Ovis aries: one gene and its partners. The protein of the gene in region 2 interacts with the protein of the main gene of each other region in a pairwise test. Links are inferred from orthologs where the notes say so. Each region holds a gene or a part of one and is shown on either strand. Other genes may lie near its edges.

Region 1 (4,452 bases), about 8.8 Mb from region 2:
TTTCCTTAGAGCCTGGAAGGAGCAGAGAGTCGCACAGGGAAGAGGGTTCTGGAATAGGAAGCTTGCCCTCTGAAAACCAGGGTTAACGTCTGACTACATGTGACTGGGGGATGAGCCAGCTCTAATTCGGTTCTCTAAGCTGGGAAGTGAGGGCCACTGGCTGTTACAGCTCCCCCTGCCCCAGAGCCCGTATTCTCAGATTCTGTAAGGATTTACCTGTGTCCACCTAAGAACCCCACCCGAAGACACACTGCCGTCACTCTTCCCCAGCTTTGCCTCTTGTTCCCTTCAGACTCCACAGCTTGTTCCCCCATCTATTTGTTTGTTTCCGTCTATAGGCTTGGCCGCCACCTCCCTCGGAGTCACACCCTCCACCCTGGTCCCTGCTGGGGAGATTGAGAGCCCTTTGGGCAGGCCTTGGTGGGGGTGCCAGTCTGCTGCGGGTAGGGGCACCAGCCCACCCTCCCTCCAGCCTCACTTTCCAGCAGCTCACAGGAAATTCACAGTCGTAGGAACTCCACAGAGGGGAAGGGCTCCTGCGATGCTGAAGGAAGGTGTTAAAATGCAGGGAGTGGGGAATTGCCTGGAGGTCCAGTGGTTAAGACTCTGCACTTCCACTGTGGAGAGCACCGGTTCTATCCTCAGTCTGGTAACTTAAGATCCCACATACTGCGGCCAAAAAAAATTATAGGAAAGAAATGCAAGGCATGAGCTCTGTTCTCCAGGAAGAAGGAGGCTGATTTCTTACCTTTGTGCCTCCAGCAGAGAACTTCAGCATCCTTTATGCAAAATGAGCTCTTGCCCTCAGGTAGGTTTTCATCCCACCAATAGCAACAGATCCCACAGTTAAAACTTGGATGCTGTCAGCAGTGGAACCAGAGGAGGGTTAGACTTGGACCTCAGAGTGCTTCCCAGGAATGGGAGAGAAAATTGGCTGCTGAGAGCCTTTGCTTCCTGCTCCATCCTCATTTCTGCAGCAACTGCTACGGTCCTTCCTTTTCTCTCGAAGCAAGAAGTATCAAAGAGGAAGAGCTGGTCACTGTCAAAAATGATTTACATTGACTGAAGGAAGGAGAGTCTGTGTTTTGTGTGATATCTTTCTTCATTTTATTCAGGAAAGCTTGAAGGTTTGGGGCTGCAAGTTAATGTACTTGTGATGTTCGATGCCTGTGTTATCTTGAAGTCCTGTAGAAGTGACTGCCCGGTGTACCAGCCCGCCCCGAAGGACTTTCTCAGAACTTTCCTTTTAGGGTCTCAGGCTGCTGGGAGGGAAGCCTGAATACCAGGAAGATCAGGCACCTGGGTGACCTGCAGGGAGACTGTCCATGACCCCCTATCAAGCTGCTTAGCTCTCTGGAGCCCCATCCCCATGTTCAGAGGACCACCCATCTCAGCCGCTGGTGTGGCTAATGCAGAAATGGTCATGGCATCCTGGGTTCATCGTATTGTTGGGTAGCAGTTGTGTTGACACAGAAACAGAGTCTTGGAGGAAGGAAAGTCGACAGGGTTGGTGGAGAGCTTCGTAGGGGACCAGCCAGAGCAGTGTTGACTGTTGTCAGTTTTTGCCTTGTTAACCTGATGCAAAGAGTGAACTCATTGGAAAAGACCCTGATGCTGGGAAAGACTGAGGGCAGGAGGAGGAAGGGGCAACAGAGGATGCGATGGTTGGTTGGCATCACCACCTCAATGGACATGACTTTGAGCAAACTCCAGGAGATGGCGAAGGACGGGGAAGCCTGGCGTGCTGCAGTCCGTGGGTTCGCAAAGAGTCTGCATCCCTGCTGGACGCTCCATCCCTGGTGCGCGTTCCTCTGTGCCCCTCACCTGTCTTGAGCAAATGCTCACTCGTACCTCATTTCAGAGAAACCTCAGGAATTTGTTCAGATTCCAAGACTTCCACTTTGTGATGAACGATTAGAGCTTCATTTGGACATCTCAACTGATCCTCCCTCTGTGAGCGTCTCCTGAGTCTTACATTACAAATGGGGAAACCAAGGACAGAGAAGGAGAATAACTCAGTGGTGCCCACAGGTCTGGTCGTGGGGACAGCAGATACCACCTCCCTCTGTCCCTCTTCACTCATTCTGAGTGGTATTTCGTATCTGCTCTCAGCGCTCGGTCCAGATGTTAATTTTCCTAAAAAGCTGTGGTTTAACAGTGTACGGTGGCCGAGAGATACAAAAGGAAAATGTGGGGGCATGGAAACTTTCCTGGGAGTTCCAACTTTATTTTAGATCTTTGGAAAATAGAGATAATGCTTGTGTGCTTGGCAGACTGCAACCTCTGGGCAGTGAAAATTGCGTGGTGGAGCAAACACAAGGGGAACATACATGAAACTCTGAAAAGACCCAGGCAGAGTGGAGTTCACATAGTTTCCATACGTTTACGAGAGTGCCAGGAAACCAGTCTTGATGAGTAGAGAGGTCGGGAGATGCTGAGTTGGCCAAAAAGTCCATTCAGATTTTTCCACAACATTTTACAGGAAAAGCTGAACGAACCTTTGGCCTACCCAGTATCTGCTGTGAGCAGTTACTTCAGCTCTCGCCCCGGTTGCTAGTGCCAGCCACCGTCCCACCCTGACGACGCCCATGAATTCCTGCTGCGTCAATGTCGCCCAGTTTAGAGGAGCTTCTGCGTGGGGCTGACACACCCTGAATCTTCCCTACCAAATATAGACTGATCTCAAAGCAGTGCTGCAGTTTTTTCTTTTTGCTTTCTCCCAAATTAGACGGCTTAAGTGTCCAGAACGTTGTAAACACTCTGTGTTGTGTTTTTTATGAGAGTTAAAGAAATGGTAAACAAGTGGAGAGGCGAATCTGCTTGTTTCTGAGTACGGTTGCAGTGGCTGGGAGGCTCAGTGTAGTTTAGTCCTTTCGCTTATATCTGCCCTTCAGGTCGTCTAGTTCTGTCACACTGTCTGGAGGGCTCACCTTCCCCTTTTCACACTCACCATGCAGTGGCCCCAAGCAGGAAGCATCCCGCTGGCCCTTGAGTTACCAGGTGCTGCATGGCCGCAAATGGCCCCTCGCCTTGGCCAGCGCTGCCCGGGCTTCTGATGAAATGCACATCCTGAGATGCAGCTGGTTCGGAGAGGGCTGAGAATCGCATTTCTAGCTAGCTTCCAGGTGGTGCGGATGCTGCAGATGCTGCTGGCCTGTGGACCCCGCTTGGAGTGGTTCCCCGGCCACCAGGAAGACGCACCTCCTTCCATGTTGACTTTCTTTCTACTGGAAGCAGAGAAGGACATGGCAGCCCACTCCAGGATTCTTGCCTGGGAGATCCCATGGACAGAGGGGCCTGGCGGGCTGGAGTCCAGGGGGTCGCGAGAGGCGGAAATGACCTGGTGACTACACCACCACCACCTGCTGGCGTGTGGAGTCAGGCGGGCTGGAATCGTGCGTGCTCTCTGTTGATTGCTGTGTCCCGGTGCCCTTGCTAACGGCCCTGGTCTCGATGCTTCTCTCTTCTAGGATTGCCTCAAAGCCTGCCAGGAGCAGATTGAGGTGGTGCTGCTGAACAGCCTGCAGCAGTACCGTCAGGACCAGGGCGACGGATCCAAGTCGGAGGATGAGCTGGACCAAGCCAGCACCCCTACGGATGTTCGGGATATCGACCTGTGAGGATGTGGGGCGGGCCCAATGGGAGGGGTGCGTCCAATCCGCTCTCTCCTTCTCTCTGGTTGTATTTGGTTCTCTTACATTTTAGGATGAAACTTAAAAAAAAAAAAATTCTGCCCCCACCTAGATCCTATTGAAAGATCTTTTAGAAGTGAGAGATAAAGGTCCTATAAAAACAAAATCATTACAAGCATTTGGTGCCTATTTGAAGTACAACAGAAGGGAATCCCTTATATATGCCAAGTTACTGTTTGATGATGTTAAAAGTCATAGTAATATGCTTACAGGAAAACCTGCAGAGTAGCTAGAGAAAAATGTACGCCTGCACTATGGGAACAAATTAGAGACTCTTTTTTTTCATGTTATGAACTAGCACGTATATACCCCTGTTGGATAATTTGGAAGAACTGCGGATGCCACGTATGGCAGGATTGGATTGTGAAGCAATGAACTTGAGAAGGAATTAGGAATCAAGGAGGGACAGGATGGGGAGGGAGTGACAAACGATCTCAGCGCAATCGAACCATTTTGGGTGGAGAAGCGCCTAACTCCCAACCACCTGTTTGTTGCTAAGCAATGCTGGGTCTCTAGTGACAAGTCTTGCTGCCTGCCGTAGCTGCTACCTAAAAGAGATGTTCTGTTTTGCCCGTTGGACACAGGTGATTGGATCCTGGGTTTCATGTTTTTCTATACCTTGCTTCTTCTTCCAAACTCGGTTCGTTGCAGACACCACCCCATTTTTATCTTAAAGGGGCAATCTAGCTATGGGCCATCCCCCAAACTCTGTGAAATGGAGGCAGACGGAGCCCCAGGGTGGGATCTGGAACTTTTTTTT
Region 2 (5,533 bases):
GGAACCCTGGTCTAGAGAATTGGGGTCAAAGATACTGAGAAAGAACAGACATGGGAAAATTCAGAAACCAATAACACTTAAGAGCAGCAGAATTTTCTGTCTGAAAAATAATTGGCAATGATATTTATAAAGGCTCTCCAAAGAAAATTCTATTCACTTTTTTTTTTTCTCAAAATCTTCTAGTCTTAGTCATATGTAGAAATATACACACGAATGCTTATGAATAGGTCCTTACTACGATTTCCTGTATTCTCTGAACTGGCAATATTTACTAACAAGTGCTTCTCGGTAGGTGAGAATGGAGCCAGATCAAAATTCAACAGGTCTGATTTGCTCATCTGACGACTTACGCCACAAGTCACAAACCAAGAGCCGCAGGTGTTAGGGTTACTTCAGAAATCATTTTCATCCAATTTACCTACTTCATATATATAAGCTGTGATGTAGAGGTTTCATAGCACTGTTTTATATAAGCTCTGAAAAATATCACATATATGTAGCCAAGTCCTATATATGACACTGATTTAAAAACACAACAAACTTGAACCTCACCTTCATCCTTCTTTAAAATTTTTACAAATGAGGATTTTAAAAGTTAGTGTAAACATTTCTTAGGATCTCTTTATATGCTAGGCTAGTGAGAGTGGAGAGAGAAAGAAGGACATAGTTATTATAAGTTTACAAACTATGAATATGTGTAGTTTGATCCTTAAGACCAATCCATGTAAAGCTGGGGGCTGATTATTCAAATTAGCTTTTCATATTGATCGTATTTTAGTAAACGGCAAAAATCTCCACTTCTAATGTTGGGGGTACACCTACCCCTGCCAACCCCGATAACTACTCTCCATTTCCTCTACAAGCACCCAGCTTCTCCTGTTATAGCATGATTAGCATACGCATGCTGACGTGTTCCTGGATTGCTTACTCTGGCAGAGTCACTTCTGCTTTGCAACTTCAGTGTTATCAGAAATTCCGCAGGAACCTTAGTATTTTTGAGCCTTCCATTTCAGTTTTACTTTTTTTAAACACACAGGTTCCTTCTCCATCCTCCAAACTTATCAGAAGCCAGAGAGTGTGAGAGCATATGAAAATGATAAAGACAAAAGCAAGTCATATATTTCTGTCACATTTATAAATATTTGATTATCCAGATATGAACCACTTTTTCAGTGAGGAAAAGTGCCTCACTTTTCCCTCGAAGTTTTAATTAAATCATTTATTTGCCATTTTTGCCCATGTAGAGCTCAAAATCTGTTACTGAGTCAACATGGTCCTCTGGGAGATGAATTCTCATGAAGTGGGATGGAGGCAGACCCCTGCTCTTGGTCAGATGGAAAAAGAACCTATTGTTCTGGACATGTTTTGATGGCACCTTCAGGGAACTGACCTTCCTACTCACGGAGCCTTGGTTACAAGAACTTGCCTGGGACACTTGCTCTGATCAGTTGGTGCTTCAAAGGAAAATAATCTCAGGAGGTGAAAACTGGGAAGAACTATAGTACCTCCCCACTGATTCCCAGTCTTCCCCATTCCTACCTTTTTGTCCTCCCAAAGCATAAAACAAAAGCCCCCAAGTTTTCATCGGCCAGCCCCCACTGAGATCGGGTTATCTTGGGGCTTGAAAGCCCACCAGTTCCTGCAACCCAACTGGGGTGTCACTTATTTGCTCCAAGTCATCAACCCACCGAGTGGTTTACGTCTGACGCCTTCTGAGGCCAGGCTTCTTGGGCGTCTGCTCCACTGAACCGGCGTTGGGGGAACCGTCTGAAACATTTTCTTCTGTTCTGTTGGCTCTTTTGTTTTGAGGAGAGGAATCTAAGGGCAAGAGGGAATTTTTAAAAAGAACACACACAAACAATCTTTATTAGAAAAAAACAATGGCCGACAGAAGTGAGCCCAAGAGTCAAGGGACAAAAAACCCACTACCTCCACCCACAATCTTGGGTCCGTCATTCCCAGTGGCCTTTAAGGGCACAAAATGAAGTTGTTTTCACATAACAGAAAGTGTATTTTCTACGCTTCAAAGCTCTCTCTCCAAAGCGAAGAAGGAGGCAGTTGATAAACATCCCAACATTGTCACATACCTACCGCTGTCTAGCTGGGAGGAGCCGCGATGTTTTCAGTTAGAGAAATGATCAGATAACACAATCTCAAGCTTCTGACTTAAAAGTCATAAACAGACAAGCAGGCAACTAAATAAATAGCATGTACTCATGTACCTCAAAGTAGGAAAGTGCGCTCCCCCCACCTCCGCCCCAAAAGCTAAGTCAGAACGCGCTGAAAAGAAAGCTGCGGTTAAAGACCCTCAAGCAGGGAAAGGAGCGCGGCAGACAGAGACAGACATTTTAGGCATCGGAAAGGGTCATTACCATCTGCGGCAGGTCGCTTCCTTATCCCGGGGCACTGCTCCGCTAACCCGGTCTGGCTGTCCGGGGCATCAGTCTTCTGATCGACCAAATGCGTGTCCTCTGGGTTTGCCTGAGACCCAAGTAAAGGCACCGCCGGGCGGGCCCCGCTGGCATCCTGGCCTTCCTGCGCCGGCACCTTGCAGGCGCCTTTGGGTGGCCGCGGGGGTCTGTAGTAGAACTCGGGCAGGTTGCCCTTTTCTACCTCCTGCCACTCGTACTTGCCCTCCAGGGGCTTGTGATTCTGAAAATCAAAATTCCACTTGCGCTGGCTGGCCTCTTCCATGTCTCTGCAATGCTTCTCCAAGTCCCGGGTTAACTCTTCGTGATTGACCGGGCCAAAGAGGTTTCTGCAAGCCGAGGGCTTGGGGTACTCCGCCTGTCTGGCGTCCATCCGCTCCAGGCTCGGGCTCCCGTTAGACACTCGCACGTTTGACATCTTCCTCCCAGGGGGTGGGGTGGGGGTGGGGGGTCTCGGCGACTGAGGCTCTTGCGCGCGCTCTCTCTCTCTCGCCAAACAAAACCGAACAAAACAAAACGCCCCGACCCAGCCCGAGCCCCTCTTTATAAGCCCTGCGCCGGCCCCTGGAGCCAAGAGAAACAAACGCGAGCCGAGTCAGCGCCCGAGCGTCTAGGCGCGCACGGGGCTGGGGGAGGGGGCGAGGGGCAGCCCCCCGGGGCCAGGCAGCCCCGATCCCGGCCGATCAAGCGGGAGGGCGGGGAGCGGAGGGGAGGGGAGCCGAGCGCCGCCGAGACAGGAGGGGGCAGAGCCGCTCCGAGTCCGGGCCGCCGCGAGCCCGCGGGTCCCGCCGCCCGAGCGCCGTCTCCAAACCTTGCGGGCGTCGCGGAGTCGCGGAGCGGCGAGAGAGTGAGCCCAGAGGAAAGCGGGGAGGAAGGAAAAAAAACACCCCCGAAAAGACGAGCCCCCTTTTTGGAGTTGCCCAATATGGCGGTGGAAGGGAGGCTGACGAAGGAGAAGATGATTGACACCGCGAGTCTATTTAAACAGAGGAGGAGATCATTGGTCGCGGCGCCGGGAGCCGCCCCGCCGAGGCTGGCGAGCTCGGCCTTAAGGTGGCCCCGCCGCGCCTCCCCGCCTCCCGAGCGCGCCGCCGCCGCCGCCGAGCGCGCGGCCGGGACCCGGGGCTGGTCGCGTGACTGCGGGAGGCGCACGGCTTGCCAGCAGACCTGCTCCGGCTGGCCTAGGAGAAATTACAAATAAGACAAACGAGCTCGCCAAACGGCCGGGGAGCCGGGGAGGGGCCTGGGCAGCGGGGCCGGCCGGCGGGTGTTCTGATCCCGGGCGCTGCGCGGACCCGCGCGCCACTGCTCCGGAGCCCCGACCTCCCCGGCTCCTCGCCCGGGAAAGCGGGGGAGAGTTCCAAGGTGCTCGGCCGCCGGTGGTGGTACCCTTGGCTGGCGATCTTGTTTGCGCTGCACTCACCGAGCGGGGGATGGGGGGACGCAGGGTGGGAGCTCGGCCCCCTAGCTGGGCTCCCCCCCGGGGGCCCCCAATCGCTCACATGGCGGGGGAGGCGGGGAGCCCCTCGGCCTGGGTGCCTTAAGCTGGAGGTGAGCAGTGGTTAGTTCAGCCTTAACCTAGAAGTCTGCTATTTCTAGGGGAGGTTAGGGGCTTAGGTGAGAAGCCTAGGAGGACGTCTTTCTGTAAATTACCCTGGAATAGATGCAGTCTTTATTATGTATTCTGAACCCAAGGTTTCTCTCAATAAAAAATAAGAAAGGATTGCAAGATCAAAAAGTCAACTGATCTCCCAAGTCCCTAATAAACTTTGTAGCTGTCTCAGACACATTTAGTTTAAAAAAAAAAAAGCGAGGTTAGATCCCTGGCCCAGGTTCTTGCCTCCCAAGTACAGTTCACTGACGTGGGCTGCGTGTGGGAACTCGTCTCCTCTTTGTATTTTTCAATTCTTTGCCGGGTTGTAGCAGTTTCCTCTACCTGAGTCCAGCCGCCAAACACAACAGCTTCTTCCTTCCTCCACCCTTCTCTCCCACCAGACTCAACTTCTTGGAACCCACCCAGAACACCATTCAGATGCAAGTGACTGACGCTTTTAAAGGGCGGCGGATCTTCTAAGAGTGAAAGGAATCGGAAAGTCCGGATTGCGAAGTGATTTCTAAAGCAACCACAACCGTGTCCTCACGTCTGAGATTGTTCGGTTGGTCAGAAAGTTCGTTCGGAGTTTTCCAGGCGATCCTACGGAAAAGCCCAAACGAGCTTTTTGGTCAACCCAGTATTTCGGCATTTCTCTGCTCCCCTTTGCAACTTGACATTTACCTAACTGTGCTCCTGAGCAAGGTGATGGAAGTTAAAACAGGATGGACAGGCTGTTATATCTGAAACAAAGGGTCTTTAACTGCCCTCCCTATCCTTCTTTTGTTCTGGATCAAAGTTACACATTTTACTGGAAAGTAATCTCCGGTTCTAACAGTGCCCAACAGCAATTGTGCACAACAGTTTTCTTAGGCATCTATGCTACAGGTGAGTTTGACATTTAACTTGTTTTCTTAACCCACATAGTATTTGCCCACTTTGTGTGCCTTCCTTGCTTCAGACATTCCAGAATGTAGGAGTTAGGAGGAACCTTGGAAACCCTGTGGTTCAACCTTCTCTTTTAACCATTGAGGAAACTGAGACTCAAGAGAGGTTTCTCTGGGTTATTACCCAGAGTGATTCTCCTATCTATAGTCTGCAGGTCCTCCTCTCCTATAAATGATTCAAAATGGCTCCTTCTCATGCTCTGGGCTGCTTGCAGCTGTTTCCTTGATGTGGCCTGTGGTCCCTGATATTTAAATAGGACTGTCACTGGCCTTTGGTATGACCTTGCACTTAATATGACTAAAATGCAGATTCCAAAGGGGCAGGGTGAGACCCAGAGAGCAGTGAGAGAGACAGTGCTTTCAAAGGCCAGACTTCCTACCTGATGGAGAGAAAATATTTCATCTGGCATCTAAGTAAAAGGTCTCATCTTCTTTATTTTTTAGGTCGAATGCCCCCACTTAATTTACTGAACTGGAGAAGATGGAGAAGAGGGACAGAAAAATTAGGGTAGGTCTCAATACCCTACTCCTGAAATTATAGATTATTGTTGTTGAAATCTTTACAC
Region 3 (4,791 bases), on a different chromosome or scaffold from region 2:
TTGAGAGGTTTGAGAAAGCCTTCCCACCCAAATAAAAGTCATGATGGAGGCCAGATCAGAAGCTTCTCATCTACTGACTACTCCTACTCCTCTTCTACACAATGACACAAGTCATTTGTGTCTTGGTGGCATCTGGTTAGTGGGAGAAAATTACCCAAAGTAATCTGTTTCAAGCTTTGGAAAAAGCTGAGTAAAGGTGGTTTTAGCAAACTTAATTTGCTTAGCGACACGGTGTACTTCTTTAAACATGAAGTCTAACACAGTGAGGGAAGGAGAGAGTGGGATGAATAGAAAGAGTAGCACTGAAACATGTACATCACCATATGTAAAAGCAAGAGCTGGTGGGAATTCGCTGTGTGACTCAGGGAGCTCAAACCCAGCGCTCTGTGACAACCTAGAGGGGTGGGATGAGGTAGGGGGTCGGAGGGAGGTTCAAGCGGGAGGGGACATATGTATGCCCGCGGCTGATTCATGTTGATGTATGGCAGAAACCAACACAAATTGGAAAGCAAATACCCTCCAATTAAAAATAAACAAATAATTAAAACAGGAAGTCTAAAACCTCTCCTGAATGGGCAGTTACCCCTGTGCTTAGCGGTTTCACTGTAAATTCATAACTGTTAGTTACCCTCTATGTTGCTTGGTGCTACCTCTGCATTCCCCGGTTCTATTCCGCTACAACCGTCCTATAGAAATCTTTTATTTTATACTTTCCCTTCTCTCTTTATCCTCTAAAGCCTCTATCTCCATCCTGCCTCTCAGCTTATAACTTTATATCCTATTTTCCTAAAAATATAGATGCAACTGTGAGTTTCCACATGCCCCCAAGTATCGTATGCCCTGCCACCCTCCTCCCTGCGTGACCTATGTGTTCCTGCTCTTATGCAAGGTGCACCCCATGTGTGAGGCACACCTGATGCCCTCTTGCCTCTTCAAGGTTATCATTCCATCAGCTCTTCTTTCTCTACTGGGTCAAACCCAAATGCAAATATATTGTGATTTTTTTTTTCCCAACCTTAAAAACATTTCAACTACAAAGCTCTTTACAGCAACTGTTCCACGTATGGTGGTATTTCTTGAGAATTTTTCTACTATAAACTCTATCAGGATGGGGATTTGTGATACCAGGTTTTCTGCTGTACTCCCAGTGTTTAGAAAAATCATGCCCGGCCAGGGCCGCGTGCAAGTATTTGCTGAACAGATACTCTGTCTTGATTTCTCCTTCTGTTCTCTTAGACTCAATTCTTATTTAAAGTTGTAAATATTTGTTTAAAAATTATTGTCTATTTGGCTGCAATGGGTCTTAGTTGTAGAATGCAGGTTCTTCAGTTGCGGCATGCACACTCTTAGCTGTGGCATGCAGGGTCTAGTTTACTGACCAGGGATTGAATCCAGGTCCCCTGCATTGGGAGTGCAGAGTCTTAGCCACTGGACCACCTGGGAAGTCCCTCTCTTTGCCTCAATTCGTAATCCTTTCCTTACTTGTCTGAATGGCAGTGTTTGACACTGTTGGTCATTCTCTCTTTCTGGAAGTAGTTTCTTCTGACTTAGCCCAGAGAACATAGCTCTCTTCTGGTTTCTCATCTAGCTTACTGGTGACACCTCATTATCTTGGTTCTTCTTCATCCACTCTTTGAAAGTTAGAGTGTGCTAGAGCTTAGTATTTGATCTGAATTGGCACTCACTCCCTTCACAATCTGTTCAAGTCTCCTGGCAACAAATACCATCTTTCTGTTGATGATTCCTTCTTCTGTCTCTGGTCTGGAACTCTCAGCTAAGTTTCAGGCTCAAGTTAGCTATCTACTTGACATCTCTACTTGGATCATGCAGTAGGCACCTCAAACTTAGGTGAAACCAAACACTGACTCCAGGCCCAACCTGCTCTTCCCAAAGTCTTCCTCATTTCAATAAATGGAATATCCATTCTTCTCATTATTTAACCCCAAAACTTTGTCATCCTTGACTCTTCTTTTTCTCCCACCCCACACCTAACTTGCTGAGAAGATGCTGTTGATTATACTTTTAAAAATGTCTAGAATTTCATTTCTCTTTCTCATTATGTCATCTAATAGTGTTCCATAGCTTGTAAGAGAACTAACTCACAGTACATATTTCTAAAAGCATCATGTTTCTGAATAACTGTGTATAAATGGGACCTTTCCAGGAGCCTGTTGACTAAAAGTTGACTTTAAGGAGGACTCTGTAACTATGTGTCAAGAACCTTGCTGGGTTGTTATAAAAATCTGGCATGCTACAAGCACAAAAGCTGATTTACAGTCCCCCTCCACCGCCTCCCAACGTATGGTACCTAGTTCGCTTTGGAGAAGAGCTGTAGTTTTTCTTTTTTTCTATAATTTTGCATTCCTTTGATAAATATATGAAGAAGATGACAAATTTTAGGTTAGCTCCTTCCCCAGACGTCACATATAGACAAAGATAAGGGCAAAGTAATCCTCCGGAAGTTTCAGGTTCTGAAATTCAGTTGCAGACATGGATATTTCAAATTCAGATTCCTCTCATCTTTCCAGCCTGCTGGTTTGAGTCACATGTGTTCTTAGCACCTATGCGGGCTCTGGGGTAAGCCTCTAACACAAAAACTTCATCCTTTTCTAGGGGCTCACCACACTCAGGTGTTTCTCTGGATCAGAAAATGCCTTCCCTCCAGCTGGAAAGAAAGCGCTGTCGGACAGTAGGGTTCAGGCACCTGCCAAGCAAGGATTTGACATCTACATGGATGAGCCTGAACAGGGGGACAGAGATAGCTGCCCAGGGCGAAAGGGGATGGCATTAGAGGATGCATATGAAGTAGACACCAGCGCACTCAAGTCAGACCTTCACTTCCTGTTGGATTTTAACACAGGTAATGGGACTCGCCCATGGCTGACCATACCCTGTCTTCGCAATCGCCTGCAGTGTTCAGCAACGTAGAGCTAGCAAGAGAACTCCCTGGAGCAGTAACTGTGGAGCTGGAGCTGCCTGTATAGGGTTAGTGGATGGAACTAGTTTTGAAATGAAATGTCTTACCTGATAATGTTGCACCCCCTGCAGTTTCCCCTATGCTGGTAGATTCATCTCTCCACTCCCAGTCTGAAGATGCATCAGATTTTGGTACAGATGTGATAAATGTGACTGAATATGCTGAAGAAATTCATCAGTACCTTAGAGAAGCTGAAGTGAGTTTTCCCAACTTCTCCTTCAATTTCCAGCACCCCGAGCACTCTGTATTAACATAATTATATGCTCTTGGCCATGACCACTGGCGAATGGCATTCTTGTGACATCTAAGCATGAGAACGTTTATGAAAAATAATAGTTGGGTGCGGTGAGTAGCAGTTACTTGGACTGTTTCTCTGTGTCTCAAAAGAGTTTGAATATTAAGTATTTCACTCTTGGGAAGAACCATTATTGCCATGTCCCTCCTCCTTGAAGTTACTCGTTAACTAAATTGCATTACAGAGCCAGAATTGCACAGTTTGTTCCATATCATGATGTACAGATTTCTCTGGCTTTTGACTGAGTTTCCTGCTAACCTTTGCTCAGGAGCTTTTTAAAAATAGCAACTGTACTGTGGAGTGATCCTTATAAGATAACAACTATTTAAACATCAAAAAAAAAACTCTCTCCGCAAACAGATAAGACACAGGCCCAAGGCACACTACATGAGGAAACAACCAGACATCACAGAAAGCATGCGGGCCATTCTGGTGGATTGGCTGGCTGAGGTCGGAGAGGAGTACAAGCTCCGCGCAGAGACCCTCTACCTGGCTGTCAACTTCCTGGACAGGTTTCTTTCCTGCATGTCTGTTCTTAGAGGGAAACTACAGCTTGTAGGAACAGCAGCTATTCTCCTGGCTTCGTAAGTCCTTCAGCTCAAATAACATGAAATGTCAGCCTGTCTAAACACTTGATTTCTGTTCCCACTTATTGGAGAAATACAGTGCTTGATAATTAAAACTTACTCATGCCTCCTTGGATAAAATATCATTATTTTTACACTGTTTACTGAGAAACTGAATCTCACCACATGTTCACTCTTCAACTTGGATGTTTAAGATCCTCTTAATGACAAGTTCAGTATCATGACTAAGGCAACCATCAGCTCAAATTCAGAATCTAATTTAATTATTTTGTAGTAGTCTTTTGACTATATTCTACAGTGAGTAAAAGCCCTGTTTAAAGAGATTTGGGTTTATGTAAGCCTTCTCCAGGCTCTAGCAAGTGACTCATAATAACCCAGTGTATTTGGTTACAGTGAATAAACTATTGTAGCTAATTCCTGTTACTGTCAGTCATTCATAACAATATCTATTTGTATAGAAAAGTTCTGGGTTGTGGCTAAAAGTAAAAGTGTTAGTTGTGTCCAACTCTTTGCGATCCCAAGTACTGTGGCCCACCAGGCTCCTCTGTCCATGGCATCCTCAGGCAAGGACACTGAAGTGGGTAGCCATTCCCTTCTCCAGGGGGTCTTCCTAACCCAGGAATTGAATCCAGGTCTCCTGCATTGAAAGCGGATTGTTTACCATCTGAGCCAATAGGGAAGCCTTATTTGTGTAGAAAAGCCCTGGGGTTGTGGCTAAGTTTCTTTTAAATAAGTGACCTGATGGTGAATAGTAGTTTCCTTTCTATTCTTCTGGTCTCAGACTTTATACGTATTAATTACTATAATTTTGCAAAAATTTCCCTGTGGAAAGGAGAAACAAAAGCAAAAGCAGAGAATTGATATCAGTGAAATGATTATCTTTCTCTCGGATACAGAGCATCTTTTGCTAATTCAATAGAAAAAGCTGAGTA

Evidence for each region.
Region 1: the proteins of CDKN1B (region 2) and CCND2 interact in binary tests that used the Homo sapiens proteins (3 or more experiments, as listed by UniProt). The two-hybrid records come from large-scale screens. The link is inferred for Ovis aries from reciprocal best matches to the Homo sapiens genes CDKN1B and CCND2.
Region 3: the proteins of CDKN1B (region 2) and CCNA1 interact in binary tests that used the Homo sapiens proteins (3 or more experiments, as listed by UniProt). The link is inferred for Ovis aries from reciprocal best matches to the Homo sapiens genes CDKN1B and CCNA1.

What each region holds. Positions count from the first base shown.
Region 1 is NC_056056.1:211,597,443-211,601,894, reverse strand, and holds the end of CCND2 (G1/S-specific cyclin-D2), read left to right. Parts: exon of another isoform or gene 1-2,690; intron 2,691-3,470; coding exon 3,471-3,620; downstream 3,621-4,452. UniProt on the Homo sapiens protein: Regulatory component of the cyclin D2-CDK4 (DC) complex that phosphorylates and inhibits members of the retinoblastoma (RB) protein family including RB1 and regulates the cell-cycle during G(1)/S transition.
Region 2 is NC_056056.1:202,779,668-202,785,200, forward strand, and holds the start of CDKN1B (cyclin-dependent kinase inhibitor 1B), read right to left. Parts: upstream 3,384-5,533; 5' UTR 2,848-3,383; coding exon 2,373-2,847; intron 1,819-2,372; coding exon 1,697-1,818; 3' UTR 1,689-1,696; intron 1-1,688. UniProt on the Homo sapiens protein: Important regulator of cell cycle progression. Inhibits the kinase activity of CDK2 bound to cyclin A, but has little inhibitory activity on CDK2 bound to SPDYA. Involved in G1 arrest. Potent inhibitor of cyclin E- and cyclin A-CDK2 complexes.
Region 3 is NC_056063.1:25,412,931-25,417,721, reverse strand, and holds part of CCNA1 (cyclin-A1), read left to right. Parts: intron 1-2,613; coding exon 2,614-2,860; intron 2,861-3,024; exon of another isoform or gene 3,025-3,048; coding exon 3,049-3,173; exon of another isoform or gene 3,174-3,191; intron 3,192-3,632; coding exon 3,633-3,856; intron 3,857-4,791. UniProt on the Homo sapiens protein: May be involved in the control of the cell cycle at the G1/S (start) and G2/M (mitosis) transitions. May primarily function in the control of the germline meiotic cell cycle and additionally in the control of mitotic cell cycle in some somatic cells.